Drosophila melanogaster: one gene and its partner. The protein of the gene in region 1 interacts with the protein of each later gene in a pairwise test. Each region holds a gene or a part of one and is shown on either strand. Other genes may lie near its edges. The genes, in order: Syn2 and CG9626.

What was found.
Region 2: the proteins of Syn2 (region 1) and CG9626 interact in a two-hybrid assay, tested with the Drosophila melanogaster proteins (one large-scale study listed by BioGRID).

Annotation. Positions count from the first base shown.
Region 1 is NT_033778.4:16,552,675-16,557,527, reverse strand, and holds Syn2 (Syntrophin-like 2), read right to left. Parts: upstream 2,942-4,853; 5' UTR 2,911-2,941; coding exon 2,836-2,910; intron 2,770-2,835; coding exon 2,620-2,769; intron 2,561-2,619; coding exon 2,275-2,560; intron 2,210-2,274; coding exon 2,045-2,209; intron 1,924-2,044; coding exon 1,739-1,923; intron 1,684-1,738; coding exon 1,525-1,683; intron 1,460-1,524; coding exon 1,235-1,459; intron 1,176-1,234; coding exon 972-1,175; intron 910-971; coding exon 799-909; 3' UTR 502-798; downstream 1-501.
Region 2 is NT_033777.3:8,294,874-8,302,873, reverse strand, and holds the start of CG9626 (uncharacterized protein), read left to right. Parts: upstream 1-1,895; 5' UTR 1,896-2,010; exon of another isoform or gene 2,011-2,025; intron 2,026-2,130; exon of another isoform or gene 2,131-2,150; intron 2,151-2,925; 5' UTR 2,926-2,975; coding exon 2,976-3,586; intron 3,587-3,647; coding exon 3,648-3,905; intron 3,906-3,964; coding exon 3,965-4,128; intron 4,129-4,187; coding exon 4,188-4,601; intron 4,602-4,680; coding exon 4,681-4,857; intron 4,858-4,926; coding exon 4,927-5,292; intron 5,293-5,353; coding exon 5,354-5,501; intron 5,502-5,560; coding exon 5,561-5,790; intron 5,791-5,843; coding exon 5,844-6,159; intron 6,160-6,218; coding exon 6,219-6,480; intron 6,481-6,548; coding exon 6,549-6,669; intron 6,670-6,728; coding exon 6,729-8,000. Other genes in the region: nac (neuronally altered carbohydrate), read left to right, coding at 1-75; mRpL1 (mitochondrial ribosomal protein L1), read right to left, coding at 187-750, 808-1,117, 1,172-1,362.

The DNA of each region.
Region 1 (4,853 bases):
TTCATGTTACGTCTGTGCATTGAGATTTGTTCGGTGGATGTTATATATATATATATTATTTTATAAGGTATTTTTATATATATCTATTATGACATCAGCTATTACTTCAGTAGAAAATAACAATTAATCCGATCTTAAAGCATTCGTTTTTCGAAAATTAAATTTTCATTAGAGCGCACACAAAACACGGTTTTTATATTTCAATCAATTTTCGTTAAACCGCCGAAGAAATATATGTCTAGAGGATACAGCACGGGTTAAAGCCTTTAAGGCCACTCATTATAATCTTTTCGGCTAATAGCAAAAAGCGATTAGATTTCTCTGACATTCAGAATCGGCAGACCTATGTGGTTTTAACAATCCGTAAGTTAGGTAGGTAGGGTTAAGGGTTAATTTAACTTTAAAGGCTACATTCGGAAACGATCGATTATAAACAATATAAATTTGTTGTCAATTTGTAAGTACCAAGTCTACGTAATAGGAAAAATGCCTAAAGTAATTGCCTTATGTATGCTTAAAATTTACTATAATGCACCAAGAGATTTCACTTTCAGTTTTATCAGCGCTATAAATATACCCATATCAGTATCCAATTACAATTACAATCATTCAGATATCAACATACATATGTATATGCGCGTACTCGTTTATAATAACTCCAAGCGGACAATCATGTATGCGATACCTATAGTCCAACATTCATATTCGAATTATTTGCTATGCACTTTACGAATATTCATTATATATCATTTTGAGTGTGAGTCCATGCGAATTCTTGTCCCTCATAATATTTTTGATTTAAGTCTGCTGGATTGAGCTCAAAAATGCTGGATCCACCGATGCCACCTTGGCCGTAAGAAACGCGTGCATGCAGAACAGCAGACTTTGCAGGACTTGGCATTCCAGCTCCTGCAGGATATTAAACTTTTTATATATTATGAAATTATGGTATACTTGTATCTTTAGCTTACCTTGGTTTCTATTGCACGGCTATCGTGATCCTGGAAATGCAACTTCAGCTTCGATTTACCATCATCACTGGAGCCCCTCAGCTGGGAGAATTTATACTGCCAAACTGTGGCGGATTCGGCTCCTTCGGTTAATGAAAAACCAGCTTGCCAGTCCAGCGTGAGTCCACCACTTTTTCCATGATGCGACACGGCAAAGGTCTTACGCTGAGGAAAATTAACATATAATTAGAGAGTGAAGGTATGCGATATAAGTGTAAACCTACGCCCAGTTTGATGACACTTGTCACAATGGCCGCATTCCAGCTGTTTTCGATTCTCAAAAGCTCCTGACGGGTTTCCACGCTCAAATAGCGCGGTTCATGACCCGAACTTTGCAGCAGGAAACAATGCTGACGACTATCCACGGTCTCCGATTCCTTGACAATGCGGAACATGGTCTGGTAGACCTTGTAGACCACCAAAGCCTTACTAATGCCAGCCACATTTAGCTAATAATTTAATAGAAAAAATTAGTTAAGATAATCGAAACTTATCGCAATTGATTGCTACTCACTGGTGGCGTTTCAAAGAGCATCACTTCAGTGCCTTTGAGCAGTAGAAACCTGGGCTTGTAGCTCTGCCACGATATATTGTTGTTAATGACACCTTCATTCACCCAGCCCATGTACTCAATGCGCTCGCCCACAGCAAAGTTTCTATTATATAGCTTCATCTATTGGATACACAATTGATTAAATTATGAATATATATGCCTTTAACTCTCCTACCTGTAAATGCGTCAGGCCCACAACATTGTCTGTTATCAATTTCAGCCACTGACTAAGTATGGCCAGTTCGTCACAGTGTATGACACCTGTGGAAATTCCATTCAGACCGCGAACTTCGAAGGCATTTTGTCGCAGCTTGTCGGTGCCATAGATGTACCTCGTCACATATGCCATCATTAGAGGTACTGCAAGGTGTAAATATATGAATTGATTAGCATTTCTGTACGTAAGATTTGAGATACATTTCTGTTATCTTAGGACATAATCAATGAACAATTTGTTAACCTATTTATAAATAAGGCTCACCGGCAACCACGTCGGTCCAGCGCTTCTCGGGCTCCGAGCAAATTGACATGGGGCGACTACAACTGCGACTGATGGTTCCACTATTGACGGATGACTTGTAGCCCTCGTCAGCCTTCAGTTCGGCACATGTGACATCGTTGTCCGAGTCGGGTGTGTCCTTGGTCACTGGGATGTTGAGGAGGGTTATTCAATCCTTATTTATCGTGCTATGCTAGCCCACTGCTACTCACGTTGTTTCTGAAGGAAAGGCGTGGCTGCGCGATAATGCTTAACAGTGAGCACAACAATATCGCCAGCGTTTCTCAATATATTGACGGCATCATCGTGAGGACATGCCGTGATGTATTCTCCGTTGACCTTGATGATGGCATCGCCAACAAATAGTTGGCCCGTTATGTCCGCAGCCTGATCCTTATAGATACGCGATATCAAAATGGGTAGTTTATGCTCGGCGCCACCTTTTATGCTCAGTCCTAGGCCGCCTTGTTTTTGGCGCGTAATTTGAACCATACGTTCCTGAAAGATGAATTATTTCATAAATAAGTTAAATGTTATAGGGGAAAATATATATATACCTTTGATTCCATGGGTGGTCCATTGGGGTGACAACTACTTGGTGTTACCACTTCCAGCTTCTGCAGCGAAAGCAACTCCATGGTAAGATTAAGTCGAAGCGGTTCTGGTCTGCTCTTGCCATCGCTCACGTGCACCATTCCAGTTCGCACCTAAAATATTAATAATTTAATATTTAATAGATATACATTTATAAATATGAAGAATCTTTGCGTTACCTTCAGGTTTTGGTCGAGTTTTTCTTCTATAGGCGTGGCCATGGTGTCAGAGAGCTTCATAATTCCTGAAATCATTCAGAGAAGAGGGATCTTGAGTGTGATTTATGATCTTAAATGGGAAACGTGCTTAAAGTGATAGGATTTAAAAATGAATTATGAACCAAAATAAAATAAAAATCCAGGAACTCTAGAGATTTCTAGAGATTAGTTTGCTATAATAATAACAAAATGTATCTTCAAGATATCTTGACTATACTTAAAGCTCAATCAATATTTCTAGAGGCGTTAAATTAAATGCGTTGATTGATTGAATGGAATGAATAATTTAGAGCAAAGGGTCTGAAAAGGTTGAAATGTTGCCTGATTTGTGGCAATAACGGGATGTCTACCCTTGTTACCAAATCGGATGGCCGCCAATCAAGTTGGCCCAGTGTAATCAAGCGATTTCTGAGAACTTTTCGTTTTTTTTTTTTTATTTTTAAACATAATCGTGGCCATGGCAATGGACTGCGAAACAACTGCAATCAAATCGGGAAGCCGGCTCCGTGGCCTTTATCGATTGCCATTTTATTTTTCCACTGAGCAGACAGCAGTAAGGCGAAAGCAACGCAATTGCAATCATCGCATATCGAATTACGTTTGCACACTGGCCCACCGATGAGCCGATAGTTCAAGGTGAACTGTGCAATTGCCTTAATTAAATTACACATGCAATTAGAAACAATTAAGCGTAATCAGGCTGCCGCAAAATGTAATAGAAGGCATATCTAGATGGAAACGATACATGGGCATACCTTGGCCAAGTGCGTTTTCTACGAACTGATGCCACGGCATATGTTTTCCATTAAAGTGGAAAATAAATATGCTACCGGAAAACTAGATATGAGTGAAAACACATTGAAGTGTGCCCCATCTGCAGACGTTGTTTGTGGTTTTCCCTGGTGCTGAGTGCCGAAGTGTGGCCGCAACTGCTCCTCAGGAATGGGAGGGTGGAATATGTATTTTGGATAACCACTTGTGCTCCATAAATAGGTGTTTTGCCTAGGGGGGGTTGAGAGTTCTTGAAGGGGGGGGGGGGAGGGTTCGATTTGAGCGCCAAATATGTGCATATGGTGCCAGCTAAATTGCCATCTGAGATTGAGAAATTCTGAATTCGAGGGGAAACACTTTCGCTTTAAACGTTTTCTGCGATCTGATTCATGGTCAAAGTGAATTCAATTGTTATTATTGTTAATTAAAAAAATTATTATATATTTTTAATGAAATTATGAAAGGAATAAAATCATAATAAAATGTTTAGGCCTAAGCTTACGTGTCATCAACAATGAGTTTTTGAAAATATAATAAAAATAAATATATAAAAACGGAATTATTTTACTGAAGCAACATAAAATAATTATAATTAAGGTAAATTATACATTCCAAAATCTATACAAAAATAGATCTATCAACCCAGAATGTTCTATATTGCCTGCAAGAGTTTCGCAGAGTGCAAAAAGTGTCGAATATTTGGACCATGAATTCCTGAATCCTTGGCATTCCGCGTGTCGTAGCAATTAGCTGCTGGTCAGGCCACCGACTTGGCGGAACACGCATACGCTCCGTTGTCCCGGGTTACCTTTGATTATGGCTTTATTATTACGTGTGCACGCTGCGCTGCCCTTTTGGGTGCGTGCTTCAGAGCCGTAAAACCGTGAAGCTAGGCCCAGAGTACTCTGGTTTTTTTTTCGGTGGGGAGGTGTCCAGGAGTGCAGGTCCTTAGCTTCAAACCAAACAAGCCAACATGTTCGGCGTGAGGCCTTGGACAATCAGCTGTGCCACAGCCACGAAAAGAGCAGCAGAAGCAGCAGCAGGCGAAACGTTTCGGGCTGTTTTGCCTGAAGTTTCAGCGATTGAACTTTTCTTTTTTTTTTTGCAGCTCTGGCTGTGAAGTAAAACAAACACACGCACACCCTCGCATAACCGATACTTTTGCTGCCCGAGGCCCAAAAACGTTGATTATTAATTTATGTGTGTGT
Region 2 (8,000 bases), on another chromosome or scaffold:
GCCTACACCCGTGTCAAGCAGCTGGAGATGATGCGCCAGCACCAACAACGCAGCACCGCCACCCAGAAGGCCTGAATGCAATTAAAAGCTGCCAAAGTAAAGTAGACTGTTTAGGACTCTAGGAGATGTAAGTTTAAAGTATGCACAAACAATCCATCAACAAAAATACATAGGCTTCTGTTTTAACTAATTGGAGGCAACTGCTTCTTGGGGTTCCGCCGGCTCTGTCTGCTTCTTGGCCCCATCCCTTTTCACCTTCGCCGTGCTCTTGTCCCACATCTCTGGAACGTAGACAAAGGGATCGATTTTCAGCTGCTCACTGCTTGGCGGGCTCTTCAGCAGGACACGTGTAATGAAACGTCCCTCGCGCTTGGGCCTCATAGTGTTAATATCCTGCAGTAGGAACTTGATGTTCTCCTCAAGCTTCTGGACATCCATGTCCAAAGTGCCCACACTGGCGGTGATCAGGCCAAAGTTTTGCTGGTACTCATCCTTGGCTGCACTGTAACTAATGCCGCTGGAGAATTTGACGATCATCTCGGCCAGGTTGGTGCCCAGCGTCTCGCTCTTTGGATTTGGGAACTTGCGTTTCATCAGGCCTCGCAGGGCCACCAGCTCGGCCAGTATATTCGGATGGGCAATGACGTACTGGTAGTCGGAGAGCAGCAGCTCGCCGCTGGTAATATCCTTAATGAGCTCCACGCCGCCGACTAGCGAGGCGCCAGCTTCCCTGGCCTCCAGGACTTCATTCTGGAAATAAATTTCAAGATGTTATTTTATGATTTTGTACTAAGAAGCTGCACTCACATTTCCCTTGGTGAAAACTATGATCTTCCGCTCCTCGCCGTGGTCAAACTTGTGTGGAATCATGGCCATGCGCTGGAAGTTATCCACAAAACGTGTGATCTTCTCCGCCTGCATGTTGAGTTCAATATCCAAATTGAGGGGAGCATTGGGTACGTTGTACATGCTGGGATGATGCGTCTCCCGATGGCACTGGATAGCTTCCTGCACCGAGTACACTGGCCAGCGGTAGTAGCGCCCCACATAGCAGTCATCTTTGGGCACCTGTTTCCAGGAGTCATCCACATGTTTGTCCGCCCGTTTCACATTGATTCTAGAGAAGAACGATAGTAAATCCGGTGTTATGGACATCGAGCTGACAACCTACTTCTTGTTGCGCTGGTTGTGCGGGATGAATCCAACCTTCTTCACTTCCACCTTGACTTTCTTCTTGCGGGCCTTCTCCCGAGTTCCTTTACGGGCCGCCTCGCTCACGGCGGAAAGATGCAGCAGGCGGAGGGGCTCCACCGTGCTCTGGCGCAGGGCCAGTGCCCTCATTGAAGACAGAATGGACTGCATTTCTTTCAGAAATATTACTATTTACTGGAATGCAAACCTCTCGCTTTGCATAACCTCGCCGGCCAGAACTGCCAACTCTTCGTCGGAAAACTACTGTTTACCACACTGTAGCTGATAAAAGCCTGACCACGAACCATGGTTGTAAACTTGGCTAATAGTAATAGCACGAATTGAAGTCAATGTTTTTAACGGGCTTTTTCAAAAACTATTTTGAGGTGCGTTTATTCGAATAATAATTTATGAGTTAGAAATTGGGTATGAACCTGTACACCCAATTTTTATCTCATAAATTGTAAAAATACATTTAATTACATAGTGATTGAATTTTAATTATTATTTTTCAATAAGAAATCCACTATAGGGCTGATTAACCCATTGATTAATTATATTCAAAGAGACCTTTGGAAATCAGCAAAGAGATCAAAACACTGCCCGTTCTCTCTATAAATAAATCTCAAAATTTTCAACTTTTCCGATGTGTTCAAAAGCGCCGTACCGCTCAGAATAGCTTCGACCGACGAACGGAACGGACGTATACGGAATTTCAAAGTCGCGGAAAATCGCGAGTATCCGTGAGGGAGAGAGAAAGAGACAGCGAGCGAGTGGCCGATGAAAATTCCGCGGCGGGTCGGACGACCGAGTGTGCAAGTAGGAAAAGTGCAAGTAATAATTTGTTATTGTTTTTCCTTTCAACAAAACACCAAAAATAGACCGACAACCTTGCGCATAAACCCATTAAACAAAAGAAGCGCAGCCAGGAAGAAAAGTCGAGCGAAGAAAAGAAAAATGTGTGTATTCAATGTGTGGCAACAGTTTCGATATAACGTTCGGAAAGTGGCGAAAGTAATGGGGGCCGCCGACTTCAGATACACATGATCTGATCCCAGCACCAGCCATCCACCCATTCACCCACCCACCCACTGATCCACCGGTCCACGTCCGTCCATCCATCCATCCAGCACATTTCTTTCGCGAGTGCGTGCACTTTCGCATAAATTGGAAATATTAATTGCGTGTAACCTAAAAGTGGAATAAAGGAAGTGTTGCGCACTTGGCGATGGGGAATCGAGAAGGGGGCCAGCGGCACATTGGGTGTGTGTGGTGGCGTAGTGCGATCGCCATGGGGAGGCAAACAAAAGAGTGTCAGCGTTTTATAAATAGTTTGGTTTGCGGCGTGCTTTTATTTGTTCTTCGGCGGGCCTCCCGACGCACGATGGCATCCAGTTGTTGAGCCAAAAGCGTAATCAAGACCCAAAACACAATAACACAGTGCATTCCGAATCGGTTCTCCGTTTCGGTTAAGTGACCACACGCGTGCATATTTTTGGGAAAGATTCAAAACTTTCGCACATGTGGGAAAACGTGCTGAAATGGGATTTTCGAAAATATTGTTTACATTTCGCGGACTTAATCGTTACACTTTAGGACTCGTTTGTATGTGTGTGTGTGTTTGTGTGTGTGTGTGTGCTTGGCGGCGGACGTTCCACATTGGTCTTCCTCTTCTATAAACAATCTCCCGATTTTGATAATTCTCGGATATTCTTTTCTTGTGTGCGTTTTTAGTGGCGAATCGGGCAGAGTAAACAAACAAGTTCCTATTGAGCGATATCGAGATGGAGTGGGACAAGCCACCTCCGCCGCCGCATCCACCGCCAAAACCCCGACGAACGCGATCCCGGCAGAATGTCCTGCACTATGAGTCCTTGCCCACCGCTCCGCCGGCGATGTGCGGTCGCACGGAAGAGAACATTTTCCAGTTTCCGGCGGTGGCCTCCCGTGCCCGCAATCTCTCCGCCTCCCCTAAATTCGAGAGGAGAGAGGCCAAGGATCTGCCCGTTTGCGAACTGGGTAAGCACTCTTGCTCCAAGTGCCAGCCCTATCGGGCGGATCGGGGCACCATCGAACCGCTGAAAACTCGCCTCAACTCGGCAATTGAAGCCATGGATGAGCTGACTCGCACGTACGCTTTGCTGGAGGGATTTCTGGAGCACCGACTAGCCACCATCACCGACAACGAGGCGGGTGAACGGGAAGCTGAGCTGACAGTTGTTGATGATGACGATGTTCCTTCCACTAGTCAAGTTGCCAATCAGCATCCACCCACCAAGCCGCCTCGCTCCAACAATACTGACCATCAGTTCGATCTGGAGCACTCCCTTACCTGGCTAGAATCTCTGATGGGCACTGAGGTGGTGCCGCCCTTCAAGCAGGGAAAGTTTAAACGGTGATTATGATTTTTTGCGTATGAATATAATTCAAAAACAAAATTACACTTTGTTATACAGTATTCGCGAGCGTAGCAAGTCCATGATGGAGGAGGACATAAACGTGTTCATGAAGGGCGATCGTCCCAGTCTAAAGCTGAGCTCCTCGCGACCATATATCCTGAGGCGTCAAAGCACCTACAGCGACAACAAGGCCAAGGTGTCCAAGTGGACCAAGGTCAAGGCCGCCTTCAAGTGGGAGCGGGCAAATGTGCCGCCTTCGGGACCAGGTGCTCTGGAAAACCACGTCTTGATGCCACTCAACCATGAGGTGGAGAGGTTTGTATTGCGGATTGTTACTCTCATTGGCGTTATTCTATTGCTTATTTATTTTTCAGATACCTCAAGGTGCCCATTAGCGCGGCAGCCGGCAGCAGTTCCGCGGACAGCATCATCAGCTCCTCCTCTGGTCATATTATGAGTGATACGGGTGGGACACCTGGTACCATCAGTTCGGCCAGCTCCATGGATGATCTTGAGGCCACCACCCGACAGAATTATCGTAATTCTCTTAATAATAATTAATTTACAGCTCGTTAGAGTAATGTCAATCCTTTCCAGGTCGTGATTCCTCTAAAAGTGATACCCGCTGCGAATCCCGCGACTCCAACTTTGAGGTGGAGTTACGAAAATCCGCTACTGACGAACGCCTGGACAATATTAAATCTTCAGCTCCGCCACTACCAATCAAATCATCATCCAGCAAGTCATTGCGAAGGTCGAAAGCCTTCTCCGACTTTGAGGTCCTGCCAGAGGATCATGTGGCGGAGATTAAGGCTACCAGCAGTCGTCGACAAAAGGTGCCACCGAGTCCACTGAATCTCAACCAGGTGAACCAGATGTATAGTGATCTGCCACAACTGCACTCTCCGCTCAAGAGTCCCAAGGATTCGCGCATGCGTCGTGTCCATTCGCCGGGGACCTCCTCGGTGCCCAGCAGTCCTTCCAGGCAATCGGATTTCTTTGGTGAATTTGGTAGGTCCAAGAGGGGATGGTTTCACTCCACAATCCCTTTGTCATAACGAAACTTCTTTAACCTTGTGGTATTTTGCAGAGAGCGAGGATCTATCCAGTGGTGATTTCTCGGAACCCACTACGCCAAACTGTAAGAATTTCCCACAGAACGCCGATGACGAGATATTTCAACATTATCAACTTCTCGTACTCAAACTAGATTCAGAGTTTAAGGGCAAGCAACTCGAGTTAGAGCGTTCCAGCGCCAGCAACCGCAGTAGGGATCCTCAAAAACATTGAAGACATATCCAATAAGCCTCTAATCAATGCTAAACCACCATTTTAGGTGTCAAACTGGGAAGTGGAGCAGCCGGAGGAGGAGCTGGTAGTGGAAAGCGCAGCAGCGAGGAGCACTCGCCCACCCAACTGTTGCACAACGAACTCATGTCCACAGCCCAGCTGGAGCAGAATCTTACCCCACAGTTCAAAAAGAAGCTAACCAAGTGGCGGGCCAAGCAGCAAAATTGCTCTGCAGGATCAATCACCTCATCAGAACCAGCAGCAAGTCCCACGGCCAAGAGCCAAAGTGGGGATGTTAAGCCCAAGATTGACTGGAATCTGTGGAGCATGGGTCAAGTGAAGTTGGAGGGCCAAGGATTGTGCGCTTTGCCTGATCAGAAGGATCTGCCCGAGAAGTTTCAGAAGAAGTTGGGTTGGTATTTGGCACGGTTTTTCCTTTTATAGTCATATTTAACAACATGCCTTGCCCACAGAGCAGTGGAATCGGTTGAAGTGCGCTCCTGGTGGCGGCACTACCTCGGACAATGACTCCCTGAAGCGAGGATCCAAGCACAGTCAGAGTACAAGAAGGGGATCCGATGACGATCGATGGTACAAGCATAGGCCGCACGAGAAAGAGAAGTTTGTAGACAGCCGAAAATCTTTCTCTTCTGAAGACTAAACCTTGAATATTTGGATAGATTGTCCCGCCTAAAGGCCATTGTGGTACCGGATCATACCAAGAAAATTGAGGTCAAGACTTCGGATGGAGAGGTGATGAAGTTTGAGGGCATCTCGAGGAAGTTCACTAGGAAGCTTTACGAGTGGGAGAAAGCTAGGGGAATCGGGCCGGAAGCATCCACGTTTGCCCTGCTGCATCCTGGTTACTGTCCCATAGATGTGAGGCGCATCAACAAGGAGTGCAATAAAGGTGGGTATGGAACTATCTGATCGATCTGAAGTTAATTCTTAACTTTTCTATAGTGGCAGCGGATCACTCCCCGACTCTCAGCCGTTCACTGTCCCTTGACAGTGTGTCACCCAACTGCAACCTGGCCCAGGCCATCTCCCAGCAGGCTTCATCCCTTTCTCTAAACGACGTCAACGATCTGAAGGAAGTCGAGGACACCGACGCCCTCACCGATCACGAGTTCAAAAAGTACGACGAGCCGGAGGCTGTGATGGTGGAGGTGGAGGAGCACATTCATGACACCGCCTCTCCACTGGTCACCGCTCACACTCTGGTGGAGCAGCAGACGCCCATATATAAGTACGAGGAGGTGCAGTGTAACGACTATGTGTAGGTGCCATTTGGAATACCCGATCCTACGTAAACTGATGGCTTCTCATTCCCTCCAGCAATTCGCGTCGCGTCCAGAGCTTTGAGTCCCACACAAATCTGGCCCCCTTGCTGGGAGCACTGAAACGTGCCGATGAGCTGTTTGGCCAACTGAAGAATGCTTCGCCCGATCTGCTAGAACACCCGTCCATGCGGGACTGCCAGGCCGCATTACTTAGCATTCGTAGCATTTATCCGTACTACTCCAACAACCTGATGAGGGCGGGCGTGCTCAACGCCATATCCGATGTCCAGAGCGAACTGGGACGACTAACCGAGCTGGTGAGATGACAATTAAAAATTTGAGTTATTTGTTTACCAATTTGTTTGCTAAATACTTATCATTTTAGAGCCAAAAATCGCCTTTGGACGAAGCCTGCTGCCAAGAAACCATGCAAGAGCGAACGCTGGAGTATCTGGAGGAACTCCAAGGACTGTATGAATGCCTGCAGTGCCTTAAGCTGAGTATACGTAAGAATTTCTTCCACTTAACCGAACCGTACCTTATTCGAATCTTAATGACTTTGTAGAGGGTGGAAGCAACCGGTATCCCCGAGACTTAGTGCCGGATATTAACATCACCAGCGAGGATGGGCAGCAGTTGGACTCCAGTTCGGCCTATGCCACCTGCGACAACTCCAGCCGGGATCGATTGGCTCAGGATGACAACAGTGCTAGTGCAGCTTCACCGATGGAGCATGAAACGGAGACTAGCACCACAACGGGCACTTTGTGCCGATCCAGTTTGCCCACCGTGAATGCCAATCCGATTGCCAATAATGGTGCAACCAGTGCAAGTGCTTCTGCTAAGAAAAAACTGCTGCGACTGCGAAAAATGGGTTCCCGGCAGAACAGCAAGACGGAGAGCGACAGCAGCGATGCGGATACCCACTCAGTTTTGGAGACACCGCGCCGATTGCGCCGCAAGAATTTCCGGCTGAAGCAGCGTTCCTTGGATGATGACTTCCGGTTGAGCTCGACGACAAATGAACATGATGTGGCTACTGCCAGAGAAGACATAGTCTACGGGTCACTGAAGGTTAAGCCAGGCGAACTCATTGAGCAGAGTCAGTGCGTGGCACCTGCTCCAGTGCACCTCGTTTTACATGATCCATCTTTATCTTCCTCCGCATCCACCACTCCTCTCACTTCAACCACTCCTTCCTCAATAGTTACTCCACCCACAAAGCTGGGAGCCTTTATTCCTCCTCCTCTGCCGGAACACAATCGAACATACAACACTAATGCCAATGTCTTCGTGAAGACCAAACGGAAACTCTTCACTACTATCCCAAAACCAAGCGCCGCGGAAGGCCTAGCTGTGATAGAAAAGGAGCTGGACAGTCCCACGGAGGAGAAATCGGAAAAGGTGGACAGACCTGGGAAGTCAAGATGCCCTCTCAAGCCCCTTAATCTGTACAAGTCCATTAGTTTGGACCGTATAACACAACCGCCCAGCAAAGAAGAACTCCGGAAATGTCAAAGTAGCGAACACTTCCGGCGGGGAATCCTATTTGTGCGACCGCCACTGGCTAGTGATAGCATCGAGAGATTGTCCAAGAAACATCAGGAGTTAAACAATCCTCCAGTTCCGCCTCGGAAAGCTCATCTTTACAAGAAAAACTCTTTGCACAAGTCACACAGTGCAAATGCGAGCAACAAGATTGAGCACAAGATAGCCAAGACTAGCTCAGGACCCAGTTTCTCCCGGGTGCATCCTCCGCCACCGTCGCCTGTTCCGCTAACTCTACCCAATAAACAAGATAACACTCTGCCACGAATCCAGCGTAAACATCCCAATA